Linked DNA regions of Sus scrofa. The protein of the gene in region 4 binds, or shares a complex with, the protein of the main gene of each other region. Links are inferred from orthologs where the notes say so. Each region holds a gene or a part of one and is shown on either strand. Other genes may lie near its edges.

Region 1 (4,995 bases), on a different chromosome or scaffold from region 4:
GTTCCATTATGGCACAGTGGTTAAAGAATCCGACTGGGAACCATGGGGTTGTGGGTTCCATCCCTGGCCTTGCTCAGTGGGTTGAGGATCCGGCGTTGCCATGAGCTGTGGTGTAGGTCGCAGACGCAGCTCCGATCCTGCATTGCTGTGGTTCTGGCGTGGCCGGTGGCTACAGCTCCAGTTAGACGCCTAGCCTGGGAATCTCCATATGCCACAGGAGCGGCCCTAAAAAAGGCAAAAAGACTAGGAAAAAAAAGAAAAGAAAAAGAGAGGGCCCATAGAAGACAATAAAAGACATTCCAAAAGGGCTCTGACACCAAGAGGTTTGTTTCAAGACAAATCGCTTCCTCTGCCTGCAGCAAGAGACTAAAGAAGCAGAGGACTTTAAATGTCAGTTTGGAGTGTTTTATAAAGTTTATAATGACAAAGTGAGCATCAGAAAGTGTGACAGAAGAGACCAGACCTTGAGGACACAGCTTTCCTAGGTTAAAACATCAACCTTGACCCAAGCCCAGAATTATTAGCTATGTAACTGTGGAAGTTAATCTCTTTTAGCCAGTTTCCTTTTTTTGTTGTTGTTTTTTTGAGGGCTGCACCCACAGCATATGGAAGTTCCTAGGCTAGGGACTGAATCTGCCTGCCACAGCCACAGCCACACAAGATCTGAGCTGCGTCTGCAATCTAGCAACCTGCATCACAGCTCACAGCAAGAGAGATCCTTAACCCACTGAGCGAGGCCAGGGATGGAACCCTTCACCTCATGCATACTAGTCGGGTTCCGTACCCCTGAGCCACAACCGGAACACCAGTTTCCTCCTTCTTTTTAAAGGAATAAAACTGCAGACAAGAGCAGGGGTGAGGGGTGTCAAAGAGACCTTTCTGGAACCAGGGAAGTCAGGTTGACTGAGGTATAAGCTTGTTGTGGGGAAGGTGGACTCCTTTCTGACTCTAACTTCAGAGGTCCTCCATCGGAGAGATGTCTCTTGGGCCTTGGAAAGAGATTTGGACTGGGAGTCTTTCGCCCATCCAACAAAGAGTTCTGTATGCCAACTGTGCCAGGCCATGTTCTAAGTGAGAACTGGGGCTGCAAGTGTGAACAGGACAAAATTCCATCTCTCAGGGACTGTAATGGGGGAGGCCGACTAAAACAGGTAAACAGAAACGTGTACGCTGAAGTTACAACGCGGAACGCCGACTCAGTTCCAGTTTCCTTCACTGACACGGTAATGTGGAGCGGATGTGGAGTCCGTCACCGCCCTCACAGCGCCAATCCGCTCAGCCCACAATCACTTCCGCTCGCACATTGCAGACATCCGGTTCTTCCGGCTCATTTGCATTCCTAGGCTTGAGGGGGTGGGGTAAGGGCGCGGCTTGGGAGGGGGGCGTGTGTATGACGCCACATCCGGCGCGCGGCGGAACTGGTGTTCCTCTGCTTCCGCGGCGGGGCCGGAAGTAGAAGCGGAGGTGGCGGCGGCCCAAAGCGGAGGGAAAGAGGAAGACAGGGAGCACGAAAACCGGAGCCGGAGTCGCTGCGTCGGTAATAGTCGGAGACCCTTCTAGGCCACCGTCCCTGGCGCGGGACCTCAGGGTTCGACGGGAGTTAGCGGAGGGCGGCCCGGGCTGTGGGACGCTGGGGGCCCCGGGGCCTATGTGAGGGGAGGCGGGAGTTGGGGGGGCCGGGCCAGCTCCAGAACCGAGTTGCCCCCCCCGACCCGGCGCCCCTTAAGGACACTGATCCGCGGCTTCTCCTTGGCCTTTCCCAGGAGACCCCTGTGCGGTGCGGAGGGGGCTACGGCCCCGGCTCTGACCCGCTCCGGGGCGGGTGGGCCATGGCGGAGATCAGCGATCTGGACCGGCAGATCGAGCAGCTGCGGCGCTGCGAGCTCATCAAGGAGAGCGAAGTCAAGGCCCTGTGCGCAAAGGCCAGGTGAGCCCGGGAAGAGAGGCTTCAGCCACTGATCAGAGGCCGGAAGCTTGGGGCAAATCCAGCTGAGAACTTTGGGCCTGGCTCATCCTGGAAGCTTTCCCAGAGAGGAGCGAATAGGGCCACTTCCCTCGAGGAGCAGCCGGGCCTGTTGGGGGAAGACAGACCTGGATTCAAATATCTGAAGTATTAGATGATGTGTTTTCAGTGGAGTTGGAATTACAGAAAGTACTTAGGAAGCTTAGGGAAACAACCTTGTCTGTCTGGGGGGGAACAGAGAACGTTTCTTGGAGGAACTGAACTTTGGGTTAGGCCTTGAAGAATAAGATGATAAAAGGGAATGTCAGCAAGAAGATTTGGTTTACAGTATTCTTTTTTTTTTTTTGGCTTTTTAGGGCCGCACCTGTGGCACTTAGAGGTTCCCAGGCTAGGGGCTGAATCAGAGCTTCAGCTGCTGGCCTACGCCACCAGCCACAGCAATAGCAATGAGGGATCCTTAACCCACTGAGTGAGTCCAGGGATCAAACCCACAACATCTTGGCTCCTAGTCGAATTTGTTTCCGCTGTGCCACAACGGGAACTCCTACAGTATTGTTTTAATCCCAGTAACAACCCAAAAAGGTGTGTGGAATTGTCTTCATCTCACAGGTGAGGATGCTTACATTCAGGAGTAAGGGGTAAAGCCTGAAGCGAGTTCTCCATGTCCTGTCCATTTTCAGGCCATCATGCAAGAAAGTGGAGTTGGATCACACTCATACTCCTTGTGGGAGCCTATGAAATAGAAGCAGATAAGCCAGAGTAGAATTAAGCAAGATCTGAAGGGAAGCCTAGCTTAGAGTTCTGTGGGAAGTAGGATGATGTAGTGGTTAAGAGCCAGGCTTTGGAATGTGGCTCTAGGTTGGAATCAGCTCTGCCACTTCCTAGCTGTGTTGGTGATCTTGAGGTCTGTGAGACTCGGGTTCTTCCTATTTAAAGTGGGGATTCTAGAACTTAATGAGGTGGCTGTGAAGAGTAAGGGATGCGCTTAGCATAGGCTTTGGTAAACTGTAAGTGCTCGATGTTTGTTGGGTGTTACTGTTCTTCCTTTGTAGGAAGAGGGCAGTGCTGATGTGGACTGAAGTCCTTAGTGAAGGCTTGAAAGAGAAGTTGGCCTGGAAAGATGGATAATTTGGGCAGCTGAGTGGGCAGGCCTAGTAGGAAGGGCATTCCAAGCAGGCTGAGAATAGGAGTGGAAGGTGTTCCCTGGGGGCTCAGCGGGATCCAGCATTGTCACTGCTGCAGCTCAGGTTACAGCTGTGGCACTGGTTCAATCCCTGACCCAGAAACTTCTACCTGCCAAAGGCATGGCCAAAAAAAAAAAAAAAAAAAAAAGTGGAGCTCTGGGTTGTGTGGGCAGTGGTGACAAGACGACAAGACCCATTACCTGCCTCCTGAGGAACTATTTGTGGTTTCCACCACGCTGGAGAATTGCAGAAACAGAGCCAGCAGAATTACCCCCACATTTGTGACCAATAGGCCACTGTTAGCACCTGAAAGAACTTTATATCCACTTCCTTCCCACAGCAATGCTGTGAGGTTGGAAATATTTGCCCCATTTTACAGAGCAGGAAGCTGTGACGTCTTGAAGCCTGGGGACTTGACCAAGGCTTCCCCGCAAGAAGGTGGCAGAGCTGGCTGGCCGTTGGGCTCTTTGCTTGGCTTTGCCCCACACAGACCTGTCACAGCCACACAGGGCCTGCATGGGTTTGGTGAACAGGCAAGGCTCCCTTTTAAACGCTGTTCTGTGGCTCTTCATGTTTTGCCAGCTCAAAAATATTTCCTTGACCAGACCAGCCCCAAGATGTTTTTAGTCATCCCTCAATCTCTCTCTGTTTGTTTGTTTGGGTTTTTTTTGTCGTTGTTTTTTTAGGTCCGTACCCATGGCATATGGAGGTTCCCAGGCTAGGGGTCCAATCAGAGCTACAGCTGCCGGCCTACATCACAGCCACAGCAACTGGGGATCCGAGCCGCATCTGCAACCTACACCACAGTTCATGGCAACACCGGATCCTTAACCCACTGAGCGAGGCCAGGGATCGAACCCGAATCATCATGGATACTAGCTGGGTTTGTTGGCACTGAGCCACAATGGGAACTCCCATCCCTCAGTCTTGATTGGCATTTTTAGGAACTTAAACCCATTTCTGGCTGGCACTCTTCTTTTCCTCAAAGTCTTCTGCCTCCCACAGGGCCTGGATCAGTGTGGTGGTGATGACAGCTAATGCTTGGGTAGCATAGTGGAATTTTCAGAATAGCAGAAGTTAGGTGTTCAGCCTCCATTGCTTTTTGCAGCCTGTGGAACAGGCAGGCAGTGGTGAGTGTTTCACAGAAGAGGAAACTGAGCCTCAGAGAAGAGGTCTTGCCCCCGGTCTTACAGCTCCTTGGAGGGGAGGCTGGTTTTGGATTCAGGTCTTTGACTGGACTCCACACTCACTGACAGCCAGGTAGACATTTAGACTGTGAGAGGCAGCAGGGAGCTACTGAGGGATGTGGGGTCCTGCCCAGATGAAAGCGAGGTGGAGCTTGGAGGTCCAAGCCTCAGGCCTGGGGTGGCCACTGCTGTTCCAGGCCCAGTCTGGAGGAGGACCAACTCTAGCACCTGGCAGTAGGTCTAGCACCTGGGGACCCACCAGGGGCCAGGCTGAGGCTGGTAGTGTCAGTCACTTCAGCTTGCTCAGACGTCATGGAGACTCAGGTCCTTGGAATCACAGAGGCCCAAAGCACATGAGCTCAACTTGCTCCTATTGAAAACATCACATCAAGAGTTCCTGTCATGGCTCAGTGGTCACAAACTCGACTAGCATCCGTGAGGATGCGGGTTCGATCCCTGGTCTCACTCAGTGGGTTAAGGATCCGGCGTTGCCATGAGCTGTGGTGTAGGTTACAGACGTTGCTGTGATCCTGTGTGGCTGTGGCTGTGGTGTAGGCTGGCAGCTGCAGCTCTGATTTGACCCCTGGCCTGGGAACTTCTGTATGCCGCAGGCATAGCCCTAAAAAGCAAAATCAAACGAAATCACATCACATAGCAGAGG
Region 2 (5,258 bases), on a different chromosome or scaffold from region 4:
CTGAGCCAGGCCAGGGATCGAACCCACAACCTCATGGTTCCTGGCTGGATTCGTTTCTGCTGCGCCACAACAGGAAGTCCCAAAATTCTTTTTTTTTTTTTTTCTCCTTTTTAGGGCCACACGTGGCATATGGAGGTTCCCATGCTAGAGGCTGAATCCGAGCTACAGGTGCTGACCTACCCCACAGCCACAGCAACTAGGGATCCAAGCCAAGTCGGCAACCTACACCACAGCTCACAGCAACGCCGGATCCTTAATGCACTGAGTTAAGGCCAGGGACTGAACTGGCATCCTCATGGATCCTAGTCAGGTTCATTAACTGCTGAGCCACGAAGGGAACTCCCAGAATTCTTAATATTAAGGGACCCATCCAACCTAACATTAAAAAGATCTGAACTGCTATTCTTTAGGTCTTCACTCTCATGTTTATAATGTTACAAGTTAGACCAAACTCAGTTTACCCGTAAATGATGACAGAAACTACAAATTAATGTATCAAAAGTTAAGGTATGCCCATATTGATTTTTAAAAAATCAACAAAGGGTAAATAAAAGCTAAATGTAAAAACCGTTTCAATCATAAATTTTAAAATATTTTCCAAACTCCATGAAGAAACTAACACCACCAATCATTTTTATACAAAATACTTTAGTAAATGTAAAAAAACCCCTAAGGATTGGAGGGTGGGGGTGGACAAGAGACAGGGTTGAGACAACTGATGACCTCTTAAGTCCTCTATCAGGAAAAATAATTGTCCAGAAAAATCAGGTTAAATTTCCCCAGGCACTTAGTGATCCAGTCAGACAGGATATTTAAAAGCTTTCTTATAGAAACTTTCAACTACTTACGCATTTACGGTCAATGCATTTTATCAAAATGGGAAGGCAGTTGGTATAGACCTAGAGGTTTTAAGTATTTAACTCCAAATAATCTTGTCTGTCAAAACTCTGAAAGTAAAATGCTATTCCTCTTGATATTGTAGACAGGTAAAAGTCTGGATCACTAGCAACCAATACAAATACAAATCAGTCATTCTGCATCAATTTTTTTAAATCAAGGTATCTGAGCTACTGTACTTTTGAGGCAAAAATTTGCCTTTTTTTTCCCGTAAAGGGTTCCATTTTTAAAAGTACTAGATAAAAAATTTAAGATTGAACATATCATGTCACATTCTTAAGATGACTAATAATTTTAATAAGCACTAAAGAGTTTCAGCTTGCCTGCCTGACCATTAAAATAGTTTTTTTTTTTTTCTTTCTAAAATCAGGCTAGTTATCAGAAGGCTAAGTTGCAAATGTAAGCAATCTTGTGAGAAACGAACATTTGGTAATAAAGCCAAAGCAAGTACACATCACTTGTGGAAGCTAATACTCTTCTATTAGATCTCAAAAAAATAAATAAATAAATAAATAAAACTAGGCATTTATAGAGGAGCCAAAAAGAGCCCCCCTTTTAATACTACATCCAAAGAAACCTCTCCCCTTCCAGCTCCCTATCCCTCACACAAAGATTACAAGTAAATCACCAAATCTGCACTTCTCTCTACAAATAAACGTAGACTCAGTGTGAAAACTCCTGGCAAACAAACTACACACACAACAATGAACTAAAATGTTCTTTTGGAAACAGTTCTCAACTTCATCACAACATTTGGAAACAAGCCTAATAAAATGCTGAGCATATGTTAACAAGCTAGCTATCCTAGAAAGTTTACAGGACAGTCAAAACTGTAGCATCTGGAATATGTCAGATAATCACCCTAAGAGCTCAAGAGAATAAACAGAAGTGAAACTTCAAGCACCCACATATATAAACACAACAACAAAAGGTTGAATACTGGACAATATGAGAAAATACCACCAAAAGAATCTGAAACAGAATCAAAGCCACAAAATTCTGGAAATAAGCCTGTTTGTTATGGCCAAAAGTGGTCATAATGGAATATGCAGTCTTCCTTTCTCTAGCTCTTCGAGAATAATAAATACTACATGTGCAAACGCACAAAGAAAATTTTAACAAATTCTTAAAATTCATTATAGAGCACTATGAAGTAAATAAAGCTATATACACTTAACACATGCTTTAAATTACTGGGCTTGTACAGTTTAGACAGATGAATTATTCAACGCTTCTGAAATAGACTTTAGTCCCTTGTCTAAGCAATTCTGAAGGATACATTGAACTATAACAACGACTACGTGTTTTCACTCACATTGTTTCTCCAGTCTTGGCTACATGACAAAGAAACTGATCCAGGACCGGACAAACTTCCTTTTTCCCCCTCTTCTCAAAATCTAGATAAGGAAAGAAAGAAAAGTTATTAGTATTTCTCAAAGTGCACCAACCAGTTCCAATGTCCTCTAAAAACAAACTTTCCTCCCAGTCCTTCCTCATATTAAGCATCAATTTAAAAATTTTTAAAAATCAGCCTCTCAACCAAATATCCACCTCTTGACTCTCCTAGTTCGACTTCAAATGTACCTCTTCACAGGTAACAAGACTCGTCCTAAAGGGGGCACTAAATTTCTCCACAAACCATCCTTAATGCAATGCTTCTCAAAGTGTGGTCCAAGGGAACACCAAGACCAGATCCATCTGAGATTGATTAAATACAAACCCCAGATCCCGATGCCCACAAATTGTTTTTAAGGTACGTTCATAAATCTACATTTTAAGAAACACCAACTACCTCTTGTAGCTATCTCCCAAAAACGCCTATTTCTCAAAACGCTGAAATCACGCTATCCTAAGTTTGAGAACCACTGTTCCCAAGCCTGTTGCATGGAAGGCCAGCCTGCCAATTCAGAGCGGGGAAGGCAACCACCTTAAAATTAGGGCGCGTTAAGAAATGACTTCAGAGGCCCCGAAAAAGGCTTTCCGAGAGACACTTGAAAGTTGCTTTGCCGCCCCTCTACCCACCCCCCGAAACCTTTTACTTTCTCTCTCCCCACGAAGTCCGGCGTGCGGGGGCCTGATGGAGAACGAAGCTCGCCTGGGAGGGGGCTGAGGGCCCACGACCCGGGCTCGGGGAGTACGAGAGGGGCCGGGGCCCCAGCGAAGGCTTCCCGGCTCCCCTCCCCCAGCCCAGACGCCGGCGGCCGACACAAAGCCCAGAGCGGGGCGGGAGGGAGCTGCCCACGGGGCTCCCCGCCCCTGGGGAGGTGGGAGGGGGAGGGGAGCTGGTGAAGGGCGCCCTCCTCCCAGCCCGGCCCAGGCCCGCGGAGCCCCCCGCCGCAAAAGGAGAAAGGAGAGGGCCTCGAAGACTGAGAGGAAGGGAGAGGGGGCAGCAACCCCCACCTTTCAGCGCCTCCTGCAACCTCTCGACGTCCATGGCTTCCCGGAGTCCCTCGCAGCCTCCGCCTCCTTCCGCGGGTCTCCCGGGGACCGGAAGGCCTCCCCCCACCCCCCCGACGCCCTCCCCCTCCCTCGCACACACTCCGGCACGCAGGCGACCGGGGGGGGCACCGAAGGGAGCCGGGGGAAGCGAGCAAGAGAGCGAGACCGAGAGAGCGAGCACCTCCCCGAGCCGCTACCACCAGCCCTCCAACATGGCGCCCGGCACGTCACCGCGCGCACGCTCCCAGCTGCCGTCCTCGCGCCCGCGGCGCGCCCGGACCCGGAGCCCGAGAGCGCGTGCGCGGCGGAGGCGTGCAGACCCAGCCAGCCCTCAGACCTGGTCCGCGGCGGCCTCTCTGCTTCTTCCCTAACCCGGCGCTTGAGGTGCGGGAGCTGAGCTGGAGGTGGAGAGGGTGGGGGCAGACCTCCAGGATATGATCCCCTGTCATTTGCTATTTGTGTGACCTTGAGCAGTTTACTGAGCCTGAATCCCACTTCCCCATCTGTACACTGAGGGCGCTAGTATGGACCACCGTATACAGTATAGCGGTCAGAGTACGCACAAAAAAACAGTCATTGCTAATAATCGTGACAAAAATACCTCCCTGCTTGAATCCAGAACTCCTCACTGATCCACCCTTGAAGAGAAGCAGTGCACACAGCAAAGGGATTAGAAGCTTAGGCAACGGAATCCCTGGATTTAAAACCCAACTGCTATTTACTATTTACCATTTACTGTGTGACCTAGTTAGTTAAACTCAAGTAGCCTCAGTTTTCTTATCCACAAAATGGGAGTTAACAAAACAGTCCTGTGGATTGAGTGAAATGACACTGGAGCATGGAGCGCGATGCCTAGAATTCATAATGCGGCTCTGCTAATGCGGCTGTTATTATTATCATTATAATTTTGATTACATTATGTAAGTGCCCAGGAAGTCAGAGAGGGCGGAGACCTCAGAAGTCCTCTCCTGCCCTGACATTTTACAAATGGGAGAGTTGAGGCACAGAGAGCTAGCTAGTCTGGCAAAATAGCAGCAGAGCCTAGAACATCTGGCAACCAGCTAGTGTGTGGCCATGTTTATTATCTTCTCTTGTCTGTGAGCTTTTTAAGGAAAAGATACTGAATTGTTCCACCTTCTCTTCTCAAAGCCTAGTAAAAAGCCAAGAAACGAAGGGAGGGCAGAAGGCTATTATCTAGACTGGTGTTGAAACTGCGAATTTGGATACAGGCACTGTAACTATTAACCCTCTGAAAAGATAGTGGCTCTGACCCTGACCCCAGGTGGCAGAGGTAGGCAAAAGCCCTCCTTCAAAAAAAAAAAAAAAAAAAAAAATACTTTTCTGGAGCTCCCGTCATGGCTCAGTGGTTATCGAATTCGTCTAGGAACCACGGAGTTGCGAGTTCAATCCCTGACCTTGCTCAGTGGGTTAAGGATCCAGCGTTGCTGTGAGCTGTGGTGTGGGTTGTAGACTTGGCTCAGATCCCGCATTGCTGTGGCGCTGGCATAGGCTGGTGGCTACAGCTCCAATTCGACCCCTAGCCTGGGAACCTCCATATGCCATGGGAGTGGCCCAAGAAATGGCAAAAAGACAAAAAAAAAAAAAAACCCAAAAAACTTTTCTCTGAGTTCCCACCATGCATGGCTCAGCAGAGACAAATCTGACTAGTATCCGTGAGGACACAGGTTCAAGCCCTGGCCTGGCTCAGTGTGTTAACGATTCGGCATTGCTGTGGCTGTGGTGTAGGCCAGTGGCTACAGCTCCAATTTGGCCCCTAGCCTGGGAACCTCCATATGCTGTGTGTGTGGCCCTAAACAAAAAAAAGAAAGAAAGAAAAAAAAACTTTTCTCAATTTGGCCGTAAGAGAACCAGTCTTGGAATATCTTTAGACCATTTCATTGTTCCAAGCATCCTGCTCAAAT
Region 3 (5,082 bases), on a different chromosome or scaffold from region 4:
TCTTCAAATTATTATTTTTTCTTTTTAGGGCCGCACCCGTGGCATATAAAAGTTCCCAGGCTAAGGGTCGAATTGGAGCTGTAGCTGCTGGCCTACACCACAGGTCACAGCAACACCAAATCCTTAACCCACTGAGCAAGGCCAGGGATCGAACCTGTGTCCTCCTGGATACTAGTTGGATTCATTTCTGCCATGCCACAATGGGGACTCCTCAAAAAGTTAAATTTTAAATCAAACCCCTTCCATGCAATTCTTTTTATCAGCATTACCTTGTTAAATCTTACTTAAGCCCCATCTCAATGTATTCTAGAAATCTAGCAACTCAGATGTACATCAAGATGGCGTCCTTGAAAAACTGACAGCAGAAATCTAAATGAGAGCCTGTCGGTAACACTTCGGGCCTCCCATGGTCCCAGGAGCGGGCAGGGTTCCCCAAGCTCTGGAGTCACTCTGCTGAGATGGTGTGTCACCCGCCAGCTTTCACTCAGAAGTGCACCGTGTGTTTCTTCAGTGTTGGAAGGATCACTTTCTACCAAGAGGAGTGTACAGTTTTTCAGTGCATTATTCTCCTGCGCTTGATTTGAACAGTGCCTTACGACTGGGTCACTTACCTTTACGACCTGTGGAGAAGTACACATAAGGCACCACTTTTCACACTTTGGGGTTTTGTTCCTTTTTCTCCAAGAGTATCTGTCAAGTTCATCTCTGACCAACCCTTTTCTACCTACGTTTCTACTCACTCTGCACAGAGACTTAGGGGCTTAAACCCGACAAATGACCTGAGACCCTGATCAAGGTCTGGCAAGAACCCCCTTTTCCAGATCTAGGCCCACCCAGTCCTCCCTGGCCCCCAGCTGCTCAGCACTTGCACAAGGGTATTTACTCTCTTTTCAGTCTTAGTCCAAGTTCTGCATTTAGAAAAGGCAACCGAGATTCTGGAGCTTGAGCAGAAACAAGCTTTCTTGGCCTCCACCAGCTCGGCCAACACAGTGCAGTTGTGAGGGCAGCCCAGCCCACTCTCCCTAACATCCCAATGTCCCAGCTTCTCTTCTGGCTCTGGGTGTGACATATGACGAGCTTCCCATTTCCCTCCCTTCCCACCTCGCCTGGACCGAATGTCCCCCTCACCCATCCCAACATGACAGATGCCAACTGCTCCTTCAATTGGCCATATATTCGAAGATCCCCTGCTCCTGAACATCTTGGGTAATGTTATCACCTGTAAAAACTGTAGCAGCTTAGAAAAGTAAGCAATGATTCTAACCAACTACAAATATGCAAATAAATTATCTGTTCCTTCAAATGTCTCACGCTTTATCCTGAGTTAAAACACACCGGACAACACTGTAAATCAGCTACAAATGCATTAATACACCCACACACAACACCCCACTGGGTACTAATAGGACCTTAAAGAAGTTAACTGCGGAGTTCCCATTGTGGTGCAGTAGAAACAATCCAATTAGGAACCATGAGATTGCGGGTTCGATCCTTGGCCTCGCTCAGTGGGTTAAGGATCCAGTGTTGCCGTGAGTTGTGGTGTAGGTCGAAGACACGGCTCAGATCTGGCATGGCTGTGGCTATGGCCAGCAGCTGTACCTCCGATTAGACCCCTAGCCTGGGAACTTCCTTATGTGGAGGATATGGCCCTAAAAAGCGAAAAAAAAAAAGGGGGGGGGACAACAAACAAGCAATAGTCACCATCTACCAGCCACTATTCTAAGTGTTTTATATGCATTTATTTGTGCAAGGCTCTAAACAACCCTAGACTGTGGGTAATAGTAATTACACTAATCTAAAAACGGCAACATAAGGGCACAGGGAAGTTCAGTGAGTTGCCCGAGTCTGTCCAAAGGGGCGACATGAAGACTGGAGGAAAGCAGTCTGGCCTCTGAGCCGTCTAACAACTACTGTGCGAGCATGCCCCCACACCCTCATTATCACACTTGTATTAAAACTGCGTGTAAACCACTAGAGGGCATGGATTGTGACCATCCTGCCCACTGGTAGATCCTCAGTACCAAGCAGAACTCTGGAGGGTCATGAATAAATCATGGTTGAGTTCTTCACAGGTATGGCTTCTCTTCTAGGTTGCGTTCCCTAAGGGTCAAGGGCACAACTAACAGGACAGCTCACTTTTTAACCTTGACGAATGCATGGCACCTAAGTGGTAAGAAATGAGTGACAGCCCTTAACACCTGCTGAAGGAATGTGTTTTCTATTTACAAAACCTTGAACCTGAATATAAGCATGAGACGCCCCTGCCTCATCAGAGCCACGTCTTCAAGCCTAACTGTGCAAAAAACCAATAGCTACCTTAACATTTTAAGGTCACTAGGAGGGAGACAAGTGTCCTAGGGTAAAACATCACAGGAAATGTAAAAGTTGTCTTTAACTACCTGAGCGCTGCTCCCTTAAAAGAGCTCGTTACTTAAAAAAAAAAAAGTAAACTTATATTTTGCCAAAAATAAGTTTACATATGGTTCACTCACTTAAAAAAAAATACTCTTTTTAAGGAATCCTTCTAAAGAGTAAATCGCCCTCACTTCACTCAAAACACCCAGTCTTTAAAAATTGAGCTTATTTGTGGCAAGGGACACATTACACAATGCAAAAAAAGATTAACTACACGGCATTTAAAAGAGCTATTTCAAAGTGCAGCCACCTCTGTATTACTTACATCGACAGTAGCCACAGTAAATCTCAGCTCTGCCCGAACACACCACAAATTCTACCGCGGTTATCTCTGCAACTCAAGGACAATTTCCAAATTATTCTGTGTTCTCAGAAGAGCACACACGAAATGAACAAGTCCTTTCTGACGCTACTCTGGAAATGTCAAACTTTGTTTTGTTTTCCTTTCAGCCAAAGAATCGACTGTGAAAACTTGAGCATCTCCAAGAAAGCAGACATCTGAGTGTTCAAGAAGGCCTGGCGCCGTGCGAACCGCGCACCCTAGGAACGCGGCGGGGAAAGCGGCCCCTCCCGCCAGGCCACACCTTCCACCTTCCCGGCCCCCGGACCCCGGCGCCGGGAGACTGCGGGTCTCCGGCGTGCGGTGCCGCTCCGCGCGGGAGGCGCCCAGACCCTGTCCACGGTCCCAGCCCTCTGGCCCGGGAGGGGCCGCGGAGGCTCCCGGGCGCCCGCCTGCCCCGGCTTCCGCCCGCCGGTGCTCCCGCCCGGCCGCCGAGCCGCCCCCTCCGAGCCGGGCCGGGGACCGAGGGCCGGGGGCCGGGCGTCCCCACAGCCGCCGCCGCGCCGGGATCGGCCTCTGGACCCCACCGCCCGCCAGCCCCCCGCCCCGAGGCCGGCGCGCACTCACATCCGTCCGCGTCCTCCTGCAGGTCCTCCTGGAGCAGCGACAGGTCTGCGCCGAGGGAAAGAAGAAAGCCGTCAGCCCGCCGCCCGCCGCCCCCGGCCCGCGCCCCCCGCCCGCCGCCCCGCCGCGGGGCCCGTACCCGCCATCTTGCGGCGCCCCCTCCTCCGCCGTCGCCCGGGGACCGGGGCTACAGCGCGGCGCGCGCGGCGGCCGGTGGACGCGCGCGGGAGGCGGTGCCGCGGGGGCGCGCGGGGCGGGCCGAGCGCGGCGGGCGGACCCGGCCGCCCCTGCCCGCGCGCCGGCCCGCCTCCCGCCTGGCTCGCTCCCGGCCGCCCCGCCGGCGCGCTCTCGGCTCGGCCCGCCGCGGTACCGCGTGCGGTCGGGCGTCGTTGCCGCCGCCGGGGGCCCGCGCCGAGTGCTGGGCCGGGCGACCGGGGCGGGCGGGGCCTCGCGCCGCACGCTTTGTTGGGTCACGGCGCCGCCAGTTCGGTCGGCGGGGCTCAGCCCGGCCGCCACTCTATACACACACAGACACACACACACACACACCCCGCCCTGGCGGCTGCGCGCGCGGCCTCTGCTCCGGCCGAGACCGGGGCACTTCGGAGCCGGGAAGCGCGAACAAAGCCGCCGAGGGCCAGGCGCGGCGGGGCGGCTGGGCTCAGGCCGGTTCCGCCCCCTGGGCGGCGGGCGCGCGCGGGGCGGAAGTAAGGGCGATCCCCGACCTGGGGTTACTAGGATGAATGAGGGACAGCTGGGTCCGAGCGTAGGGTCCCTGACCTCCGCCGGTGCAGGAGGAAAGGCTTCTTTCTAGCTGTAGCTTTTATCCTGAAAGTGTTGAAACAATTTTGGTGGTATATGAGGTGCTGGAGTGAAACCTGTATCACAGGTTTTATTTTCCCTTGTTTTTACATGAGTTAAATGACGAGTACGACCTCTTCCACTCGAGGCCTCGGAAAGGCTCAGCTCCTGAGTGGGGAACAAAACAATGAGGCATCCTTACAGTTTTCGGAACAGGCCAGTTTAAAGTGATGCCACGTTGGGGGTCTGGACTCCTGGGGAGCAGAGAGAATTCCAAATGGTCTGCACTGTGGCCTTAACCAAGGGCACTATTACATTTAATGCCGTTAAAGACCCTCTGAAATTCATGATTCTGTGTAATAAAGTGGATTCTACTAGCTGTTCCAAAAACTTGCCTCGCAGATGCTACAAGATGGAATGCATGTTGCATAGTATATGTTAAGTTTCTGGGAGTAATAATAACTGGAATAGCACCTACGAGTCTAGTTGTGTGTCTTATTTTCTCAAATACAGAGTAATTAAAACTAAGAGCCAAACTGTCACGACCCATTTCTTCCCTGAGAGAAGGCCCTTCCCTGAATTCAGGTGACACTAATTCTCAAAATGACAAGGAGTTAGAAATTCACAGGCTATCAATTGACTCAGCCTGTAAGCATTTTGCCCAATGACACCTACCACTTTAACAATTCCGGGTGGAGGGGGGCAGGCACAGGATTTGGCTCTTTACACGAAGCGGTGATCTCCTTGCAACAACACAAGATCCAGGTCGCCAACTATGCTTCAGCTCCTGGACACACAAAAATAAGGAAACTATCTGGATGGTCTACCCAGTAAAGGCAGACTTCTAATTCTCAATGATTGTGCTGAAGTAGAGGTTACATACCCAGTGTTAGCCAGGGATGCAGAACGGCTAACCCTGCTTTTGCCTCACTGTGTTTTATCTCACTTTCTCTGCATTGGCA
Region 4 (4,566 bases):
CTATGTTGATAATTCATATGACAAAGTAACTTATTCGCAAAGCTTTAATAAGGAACTTCCCAAGAAGACCCTAAAACTGTTTTCTAAATCACACACACTAAGGGAATAAAATGCAGAAATAAATAATCCTAACTTTGTAATAATCTTCAATGCAAATAAAAACAGCTTAATACTGAGTACCAGCTTTGCTCAGTCTACACACCTCAAGTACAAATAACTTAAAATGAATTGTCTCAGAGCTACTTCACGCTGTTTGTTTCCGTATGTAAATGGAAACTAAATACAAATAGTGCTTTAACAAAAAAATGGCTTCAAAATTCAGAAAGCAGCAAATAAGTATCTTAAGTATTTTCTTTTACAGTTCTATTATCTCTGATTATAGCACATTCTCTTCTTTTTAGGGCTGCACCTGTGATATATAGAAGTTCCCAGGCTAGGGTTGAATTGGAACTGTAGCTGCCACCTTATGCCATAGCCACAGCAACACCATATCCAAGCTGCATCAGGGATCAAAGACACAGCCTCATGGATACTAGTTGGGTTCTTAACCACTGAGCCACAATGGGAACTCCTGATTATAGCACTTTTGAAAGAAATTTTACCTTGAAATTACCTCTTTTGAAAATATGTTACTAAACCTCTATATTAACACCAACCTTCTGAGTTTCAAAGTTTAAGAACAAAGAATTTAACTACCAACCTGTATTATCTTACCTTTGCTAGGTTTGTCTTCTGTTGTATTTGCCAGTAATGGAGCAGTAAGGACATGCATACAGTGCTTGTAGAAGAAACCCAGAAATTCAGTCTTTTCTGTTTTCTAAGGAATCAAAAACACTTCATGAACTTTAACTGCATTGGTTCCTACCAGCAATCAAAATTACACGAGTATGAAAAAGAGAAAAATGCCCACGGCTTACATTGGCAGTAGCTAGCATGTTTTCTGGGTCAACCAAGGTTCGAAGCAGGCCCATAAGTTGGACTGCTCCTCCAAGTTCAGGGTCTGTATCACAAATCATATGTTCTATAATGAGGTTGATGAGCAAAATATCCTGGTGGGAAAAATATACATAATAAGGATCACTTACTAAGAGTAAGGATGGAAAAAGCATATACTATGACACATGCTATAGCATTATACCTGGCTCTAGCTATCTTGTTAACTGCAAACAAAATGAAATGACTGACTGGAATCTTTAATAGGATATATGGTAGTTTCCCAAAGGTATGGTACAGACACATTACACAAATAGTACCAAAAAGTTCTTTTTTTATTATCTTTAAATCCCCTGGATTAAAATAAAAACAAAGTTTCAGTTTGGTGCTAATAGATCTTTTAGAACTCTTAATAATAAAATCTCTCTTCTGAAGAAAGCTAATGGGACTTTGCTTCATAGTTTTAACAGTACGATTATCTAGCTAGAATTTATAACACTGTTCTTTTACTGCATTTTTATAGATTCCTTCTATGGCAAATGATAACTTTATCTGTTCTCCTTTTACAGAAATGATATAAAGTTTCCATTTAAAATAAATGGTTTTCCCTATGGTTGGTCAGGCAGTAAAGAAAGCATCCTAAATACTTTCCAAAGGACTATGCTTCATCATTCTTGATAATTTTGAGACCTCTATCCCTAGCAAAGCCAATGCTTTCTTAGGGAAGTTATTCATAATTCCACATACAGAAGAACAATTTATTGATGAAATGGTTTTAAACATTATAACATAGCAAGTTAACTTCAGAGTTAAAAAACTTAATTTCAAAAATTTTAAAAGAAATTGAAATTGAGCATTAACAAATAACTGCTGTAAAACAATTTATAAACTCAGGAGCCAATTTAGGGGAAGAATAAGTCATGATATCATGGGTATACTTTTCTCAAACACTGACTAAATCTTTAAGAAATGAATAATAAATATAGTTATAGCTCCCCACGTATAAATACTTACTGTTAGTGAAGATAATATTTACCTTGTTGGTTATTTTTTGCTCTGTTAACTTCTTACTTACATCATCATTCTGTTGTGCCTCCTGCATGACAAACTCTCGTACCATGGATGGATTATATTCAACCAAGTATGAGAATATATCAGTAGCAGCACTTCGCACCTGTGTATCATCCATGCCCTGCAGGTAAAAAGCACTTATTTCTTCTATAATAATAAAAATATGGAACTTGCAGCTATATAAATCTAAACCCTAACAAATTATAAGAATATATTTCAATAAAAAGGAGAGGTCAAGGAAATTATGTTGTATGTAAAATTACTGTTCTATGGGATAAAGTTATACTTTCATTTTTTCCCGTTTATTTTTCTCCTCTAGCATTTTATATATTTATTGTCTTTTTGTCTTTCCTAGGGCGGCACCTGCGGCATACGGAGGTTCCCAGGCTAGGGGTCTAATCGGAGTTGTAGCCGCTGGTCTACACCACAGCCACAGCAACGTGGGATCCGAGCCACATCTGTGACCTACACCACAGCTCACGGCAATGCTGGATCCTTAGCCCACTGAGCAAGGCCAGGGACTGAACCCACAACCTCATGGTTCCTAGTCGGATTTGTTAACCACTGAACCATGACGGGAACTCCAGCATTTTAATATGATGCAAAGTTAAATTGTTAAAAATATGGAAAATTCCGTAATTGTCCTTTTAGCACTGTGTAAGGACTCTCTTAATACTAGAATTTTATAGCTATTTAACTTTATGTAATACACAGCTGATGTTAAATATTAGCTATAATCAAACAGTTGCATGTTACATAAAAATATACTATTTTGTGGGTTAAAAATATAATGGTAATTAAATATAAGGAGAAACAAACTTACAAGGATGACTTCTAAAGCTGGTAATATACCCATGTTTGACAAAGTCTTGAAAAAAGCATCTCTGTTTTGAGGTTGTAGCGTTTGGGAAAACGCACAAAATTCTTTTAAAAAGTTAACCTGAAATTAGGAAAAAGGTTAAGTGAACATAATAGGTTGTATTGTTTTAGCTTCATGGCCTTTATAATATCAAATTTCTTACCAATTCCTGTCTTTTTTCCTCATCTGTTGCTTCATCTGTTAATTGTGCAAACAAATCTGTCAGAAATTTTTCATCTTCCTGTGAAATCAAAGGATAGATTTTAATTATGCTAATAATAGTAAGAGTATATAATAAAATACATTTTCAAGATGTTACTGTAGAAGATATAAATTGCAATAACTGGAAAAGGGAAAGATGGTATTGGCAATGCTGTTTTTTAAAAGAGAAGGAAAAAATTATTAAAGGATAAACTGGGGATTTATACAGAAAGATTATACTTTATATTTCAGCAAGGCTCTATTTCCTAAGGTAGTTAAGGGCCACATTTAAAAAATTTTGGGCTTTGTGGGCCATATGGTCTCTACCACAACTACTCTGTTATGTTGTTACAGTAGGAAGCAGACACAGGCAATATGGCAATGAATGAGTATTACTTTATGAAAGAAAACAAACACGGTTGGTAGACCCCTCATTTTCACTGGGCTTCTGCAACCTCTCAAAGGAAGATAAAACTTCCTTCACATTTTAAAAACAGCAATAGTTAAAAAGCTAAATTCAGAACTTTGGAATTAAGAAACATCTATTATTTAAAGATACACACACAAAACAAATACAAAATAACTTAACACGTATTATTCTACATTAAACCATTTCTGACTTCCTGTTCAATTTTGTCTATAACTATTTTTAATTAAGATTTTATTATATTTTAATTCCATACTACTTCAGCCTTACAGACATGCCGCCGAAGTCTAAATATGTGTATGTGTGTGTGAGACCTTCCACGGATTTATAAACCCCACATTCGCTGCCGTGGGTGTTTAAGAAACATTTTCTGTGATGCTAGTGATTCCCACTTTTACTTTTCTATGGCCTAATGTACAAATAGGCCATACCTTAAATGTCATCTCCAATGTCAAGATCCAGCTAAAATATATCCCACCAAATGGAAATCAAATGACTAAAAATGATTCTCCAGACTGCCACAAAGTTTAGAGAATCAAGACTGTTTTAACAGTGTTACATAGAAATCAGTCAAGGGCAAGGGTTATGACTGTGTATAAGATGGGTTAAGAACTGCTTCTCATCAAAGAAATTTGTAAACTCTCCTTCTTTCACAGTATTTTGAATATAAACACTCTGCATCAACAGAAACAGAAAGACCCACACAACTGGCAGCCAGCATTTTACAGAGCATACTGTAGGGAAACAAAGACGTAACTTGAAATTATTCGTATTTAATGAGTAAAACTGGCATTTTACAGGTAGGAAGACCAAGAAAACACAGAAGTGACAAATCCCTATACAACAAAATGAGAACCATGTGGAGCTAAGGAAAAGTACCAGCAGCACTCAGGATTATCCAAGGAAACCAGGAATCAAACAAGCACAGAACAGGTAGCTAACAAAAACTAGTTCCCTTATCAAAGAACAAATGAAAACTGATACCAGAACCCTTCTCGTCATTATCAATCAAAATGTACCATTTAGAGATTACTGTTGTACTTACCAGACTGCATTGCCTATATTATTTGTCTGT
Region 5 (5,234 bases), about 2.3 Mb from region 4:
AATGTGAAAAAGAATGGCTGTGTCTACATTTATAACTGAATCACTCTGTTGTACAGCAGAAATGATCACAACATCATGAATTATACTTCAATAAAACTTTAAAAAAATGAAACAAATGAAAATTAAATGTGATATTACTTTACCAATGCCAGATTGACATGAATTAGGACATGATACCAAATGTCAGCACATAAAATGGAGAAACAGGAACTTTCCTATCTTCATAGGCCATTGGTGGGAGTGCAAACTGGCAAAGCCATTCTGGAGAGTACTGAGGCCGAGTGAAGCCAAGCAATACAGACACATGACCCAGCAACTCCATGTCTTTCTTATGGTCCATAAGAGACAGGTGTAACACCCCTTCCAGCATGGTCTGTGATAACAAGGAATTGCTGGAAACCCAACTGTTCCTTATTTAAAGAACTGATAAGTAAAATGTGTTAGAGTGGGTAAATCAAATACTTTCGGTGGCTTGAATTAATGAACTCCTGGCATATATATATCTCCAGATAGATCTCCAAGATATGTTGAGGGAAAAACAAGAAACAGAATCCGTTATCACAGTAGCATTCATGTCTATTAAAAAATAGTTAAACTAAAAACAGTATATTTCCATGATATATACATGTACTGGAACATAGCTTAAACGAGAGAGGGTGCATATGGGGTGGGGAGTGGTAGAGAAATGGGAGCGTGCAGAGGGAATGAACATACCAGAATGACATAAAAAAGAGATGGGCCTTGCTCACTCTTAAGAGCTGAAGAGTATTATCAACAAAACGCTAGTCCCTGAGGTCCAAAATAATCGCCCCAATCCCCTCCCTATCGCTTCCTACTCTTAACACAATCAAACGCAACCAACTCAACGTGGCTGCTTAGAGTTGGCCTCTTCCTCTCTACCTTGCCAAGCACTCGGTTTCCCGCACTTCAAGCTCTACTCCGACTGCATGCACGTCCTACAACCAAAACACGCCCAGGCTTCAATCCGAAAGGGGCTTACTCTTACTTCTTTTGGAAAAGTCTTAAGATTCAGTTTAACTCCTCTCAGGGAATCCTGTAATGCCGGCGGTCTTTCCCTCAATGCTAGCTCCTCCCAGACGGCACTCCCTAGTACTCCCCTCTCCATCAATCCAGCACACACCAAGTTCTATTTACTTATTTTGGGTACACACCGCTCCCCCAAGGCTAGAGCAGAGTTACGGTGGTCTCCGCATCCACAACTAGAGCGCTGGGGAGGGCGGCCCCAGGAATAACTGCACGGTTAGGTGACCCTAACAAGTTAAGCAAGATCCCAGTCCACCTCCCTCTCCTTTTTTCCCCTCGTACTGGTACACCACCAACCCCGGACCGGGTTACCGACCCCAGCCCACCCCCACCGGCTGCAGGAGGTGGAAGTCTCTGCGCACGCGCCACAGCTGGGGCGCGCGCTCGACCGGGGGCGGGGCGAGGGGGAGGGGAGAGCAGAGAGGTGAGGGTTGCGGAGGGGGCCACTGCGACGTTGCGTGGCAGTTGCGTCCCGCCCGCCGGCCGGCAGAGCCCGGGAGGGGGCGGGGCTGAGGCGGGCACCGCCCCCGCTCCGGCCCCGCCCCCGTAGCTCGCCCGCGCGCCTCGCCCCGCCCCCTCGCCTAGGCCGCCCCGCCCCTCGCCTAGGCCGCCCCGCCCCCCTCGGCGGCCGTGCTCCTTCTCCCGCCGCCCGCTTGCCTCCCGCCCGGCTCTCGCAGCCGAAAGCGGGAGAAAGTCCTGCTGGTGGGCGGCCGTGGGGCTGCGCACGTCCGGCATCCCGGGGTCGCTCCGGCCCGGCCGGCGAGGGGGCCCGGCGGTCCATGCATCCGCCGCCGCCGCTCGCCGCCGCGATGGATTTCAGTCAGAACAGCCTGTTCGGCTACATGGAGGACCTGCAGGAGCTCACCATCATCGAGAGGCCGGTCCGCCGGAGCCTCAAGGTGCGCCCCGGGGTGGAGGAACTGCCCGCAGGGCGCCCGGCGGCTTGCCCCTGCCCCGACCCCCGCCCCTCCGCTCCCCGAGGCGGCCCGGGACCCTCTTGGAGTCCTCCTGCCCCCCCAGTCCTCCTTCAGTCCCCGGTCCCCGTGTTACCCTAACATGGCCCCTCTCGGGTCCCCTTCCTCGACGCCCCCCGGGCTCCCCCAGCCTGGACCCCCCGACCCCGAGGGACGGGCACCCGGGGCCCGCCCGCGACCCCTCGGACGCCCTCGGTTCTCTAATTCCCCCGGCCCAGCTGGCCCTGGGCCCTTTCCCCAACCCGTCCCTCTAGGAACGGCCAGCCGAGCCCCTGACATTCGGACCAGCCCCGCGCCGTCCCTCTCGTACAGCCAGGGCCCCTCGGTTGCAGCCCCTCTTCCCGCGTCCCTGCGGTAGCTGCCCCTCGCAGTCGCAGCCGCAGCCAGCTCAGCCTGGGTCCTTTCCTTGCCTCCCCGCTTTGGCTCCCTGGTACTGCTGCCTGGGTTCTGGCCCCAGTCCCATTCCTCAGTCAACACGGCCCCGACTCTTGCCCCTGCCTCTTCCAGAGATACGCCAGATCCCATCCCCCCTCCGCCCCCATCAGAGCAAGCCCAGGTTCCCCAGTGACCCCTTCACTCCCAACTAGCACCCATACTAGAGTCGTCCGACCATGGGTCTTCAAAGCTTTCGCGACCCTTTGTCCCCATCCTGAGTCACCACGCGTCCTCTCCTCCCAGCCCCTCTAGGACTCTAGCTGGGACCCTGCTCCCCAGCCCCCTTAAGGGAGTCAACCTTCACTAGCCCCCCACCCCCACCTCCCACTAGCTCCCCCACCCCGCAGAGTCATCTTCCTCCCAGAGGCCCCAACCCTTCACTGCTGGTAAACCTAGTTGACAGGACCCGACCTCCCTCCCGCCCCCCGCCGCAACACACAGACACACAGACACGCATCCACTTAATAAGTCCTTCAGCTCTTTTCAGTCTCACCTGCCACAATAGCTGGAATCTTTGATTTCCTTCCAGTTCCAGAGTTTAGTCCCTTCCCCACCCAACCCCCCTCCAGATTTCGTCTTTCTCATCCTCACTCGGCTGCAGCCTTCATTCCCCCTTTTAGCATTTCCTGGGCTAGAAAATGCTGGCAAAACAGTCTTGGGATAGTAGAGATTAAAAGTATGTATATATTTTATATATGCACATAAAATTGATTTCAGCACGGTTCTGAAGCCACAATGTCATTCTCCAGCTTCAGTCTAGAAGCTGGAAGAGTAAAGCAAGGAAAAAAAAAAAAAAGCCCCAAACCCCCAAACTCCACCACCTAAACCCAATAATTAGAGAAGCCTGTGGTTTGAGCTCGTCAGACCCTTGATTAGTTTTCAATGACAGTGCTTAATTGTGAAACTTTTTCATTAGTCTCTACTCATATAGGGTCCCTGGAGGCAAGACTGATCAGATGTTTGTGTGCATAATTTGTATTTTACACTTGACAGACACCAGAAGAAATAGAAAGACTGACAGTTGATGAAGACCTCAGTGATATTGAAAGGGCTGTTTATCTGCTCAGGTACTTCATAAAGTCTTTTGGTGATAATTGCTGCTCTTTTCCTGGGGCGGCATCCACGAGTGACTTCTGAAATGCCCTGTTACTGTTATGTTCAGATTTACTTAACCACTTGACCAGAGTACTTTTTGCATGCATAGCACTTAATGGTGTTAGGAATTAAGATTTAGATATGGATTTATAACGTTGAAAATGAAAATCAAATCACCCAACTGAGAGAATATTGTTTGAGGAGGAGGAGCAGAACAACTGATGGTTTGAGTTGAATCTCATTTAAAAATTTTTGCAGCTTTGGTTCTCACTTAAGATCCAATAAATTTAGATGAGACTTAAGACTATCCAAGTGATTCATTTTAAGTGAATTGTAGAGTATGATTTTCTATGCTATTTACTGAACAGAAAAAAAATCCACAAATAGGGTAGTTCAATTTTTTTCTTCAGCTTATCCTGTTTATATTACTTCTGCTAAGTGAGCTTTATAGTTTTGCCTGAGAGATTTAAACATTTAATTGAGCCTATTCTCACTTAAATTTCATCTCACAAGCTCTACAGAATTGCTTAAGGCTAATGGCTTTTACATATATTTACAAGATTTCTCTCAACTCTCTTAAAAACTGTATTGTGGATTTTGCTTCTTAAAAGCTAAGGTGACCCATTAATGAACAGATCTAAAAAACTTAAATAGAAATTTTCTCAAGGTATTTTGTCTACATTGTTTTAGAATTTTCGTTGAACTTGCACAATTTTTTGGTCCCTTTTTTGGCTAGTTTTCTCTTTAGTTTTTCAGAACCTGGTGGTGGTTACCTCCTGGAATATTTGTCATCCTTGTTTCCTTAGCTCAGGTCTGCGTTGCCAGTTTCAGTTTCTTGTTCTTTCTGGCTTTATAGATCAGGTTTCTGGTCCCATGTGAGTCAGTGAATGACCCTGTTTTTTTTTTTTTTTTTTTTTTTTAAAAAACCTCTTTCCTTGACTTCCATTTTCTTAATTATTTACAGCCTATTAGTGACATTTTGGGTTCTGTTCCTATTTTAGTCAGAATTTTAGCATGCTTACAATTTGGACATTTTCTTCAATAATTCTGCTATGTAAAACTGTTTCCGGATCATGGCCTTTATGTTGCTGATATTTCCCCATCTCTTTTGTGATTTATCATCATTTCTACTTACTTATTGAAAAGAGAATGTTTTATTTATGTATGTATTAGCGGCATATGGTTTTGGCATTTACATAGAGAATACTCTGTTTAACCTGTTCTGGTAATTTTTTGCATTACATGTGAAGGCTTTCTTCCTTAGGGATTAACACATCCAACATGGTGAACAGTAGCTGTAAACACCTGCCTTTCCCCACAGTTCTTTTGTTTGGAGTAGGTAGACAGTTGGTGAAAATTAGGATAAGTTTCTTTTAACATAAAGCAATTAATAATTTGAAGGCAGTGCCTCCTTACTCCTACTGAAGCGTCGCTGTATAAATGCTGGCTTATGGTTAAGAAATGAAGAGTCTTGCTCTACTTACTGGTGACAGCAGATACTTTATTCTAGATATCAGTGACAAGGCTTCTTTTTTAGGATAGCTTATTCTCTATTTTGCTTTTATTGTTAGCGAACCAGGTCATCTTAAGTGGTCTGTATTTCTCGGACACAGAACATAAGTTTCATCCAGTTCTGAAACTGACAAAGCCCTTACAGAGACAGACTGGTCCTTTCATTCTTAGGCA

Evidence for each region. Proteins that work in one complex are often made in the same cells at the same time.
Region 1: PPP4R3A (region 4) and PPP4C share a complex: the UniProt entries of both Homo sapiens proteins name them as parts of the PP4 complex. The link is inferred for Sus scrofa from reciprocal best matches to the Homo sapiens genes PPP4R3A and PPP4C.
Region 2: PPP4R3A (region 4) and PPP4R2 share a complex: the UniProt entries of both Homo sapiens proteins name them as parts of the PP4 complex. The link is inferred for Sus scrofa from reciprocal best matches to the Homo sapiens genes PPP4R3A and PPP4R2.
Region 3: PPP4R3A (region 4) and PPP4R1 share a complex: the UniProt entries of both Homo sapiens proteins name them as parts of the PP4 complex. The link is inferred for Sus scrofa from reciprocal best matches to the Homo sapiens genes PPP4R3A and PPP4R1.
Region 5: PPP4R3A (region 4) and PPP4R4 share a complex: the UniProt entries of both Homo sapiens proteins name them as parts of the PP4 complex. The link is inferred for Sus scrofa from reciprocal best matches to the Homo sapiens genes PPP4R3A and PPP4R4.

The regions. Positions count from the first base shown.
Region 1 is NC_010445.4:18,261,398-18,266,392, forward strand, and holds the start of PPP4C (serine/threonine-protein phosphatase 4 catalytic subunit), read left to right. Parts: upstream 1-1,419; 5' UTR 1,420-1,537; intron 1,538-1,763; 5' UTR 1,764-1,829; coding exon 1,830-1,927; intron 1,928-4,995. UniProt on the Homo sapiens protein: Protein phosphatase that is involved in many processes such as microtubule organization at centrosomes, maturation of spliceosomal snRNPs, apoptosis, DNA repair, tumor necrosis factor (TNF)-alpha signaling, activation of c-Jun N-terminal kinase MAPK8, regulation of histone acetylation, DNA damage checkpoint signaling, NF-kappa-B activation and cell migration.
Region 2 is NC_010455.5:54,323,296-54,328,553, reverse strand, and holds the start of PPP4R2 (serine/threonine-protein phosphatase 4 regulatory subunit 2), read right to left. Parts: upstream 3,577-5,258; 5' UTR 3,332-3,576; coding exon 3,298-3,331; intron 2,295-3,297; coding exon 2,213-2,294; intron 1-2,212. UniProt on the Homo sapiens protein: Regulatory subunit of serine/threonine-protein phosphatase 4 (PP4). May regulate the activity of PPP4C at centrosomal microtubule organizing centers.
Region 3 is NC_010448.4:98,461,327-98,466,408, reverse strand, and holds the start of PPP4R1 (serine/threonine-protein phosphatase 4 regulatory subunit 1), read right to left. Parts: upstream 3,577-5,082; 5' UTR 3,466-3,576; coding exon 3,459-3,465; intron 3,368-3,458; coding exon 3,323-3,367; intron 2,747-3,322; exon of another isoform or gene 2,681-2,746; intron 1-2,680. UniProt on the Homo sapiens protein: Regulatory subunit of serine/threonine-protein phosphatase 4. May play a role in regulation of cell division in renal glomeruli. The PPP4C-PPP4R1 PP4 complex may play a role in dephosphorylation and regulation of HDAC3.
Region 4 is NC_010449.5:113,123,758-113,128,323, forward strand, and holds part of PPP4R3A (serine/threonine-protein phosphatase 4 regulatory subunit 3A), read right to left. Parts: intron 3,105-4,566; coding exon 3,027-3,104; intron 2,945-3,026; coding exon 2,828-2,944; intron 2,126-2,827; coding exon 1,970-2,125; intron 1,050-1,969; coding exon 918-1,049; intron 818-917; coding exon 715-817; intron 1-714. UniProt on the Homo sapiens protein: Regulatory subunit of serine/threonine-protein phosphatase 4. May regulate the activity of PPP4C at centrosomal microtubule organizing centers.
Region 5 is NC_010449.5:115,410,811-115,416,044, forward strand, and holds the start of PPP4R4 (serine/threonine-protein phosphatase 4 regulatory subunit 4), read left to right. Parts: upstream 1-1,658; 5' UTR 1,659-1,823; coding exon 1,824-1,943; intron 1,944-3,446; coding exon 3,447-3,520; intron 3,521-5,234. UniProt on the Homo sapiens protein: Putative regulatory subunit of serine/threonine-protein phosphatase 4.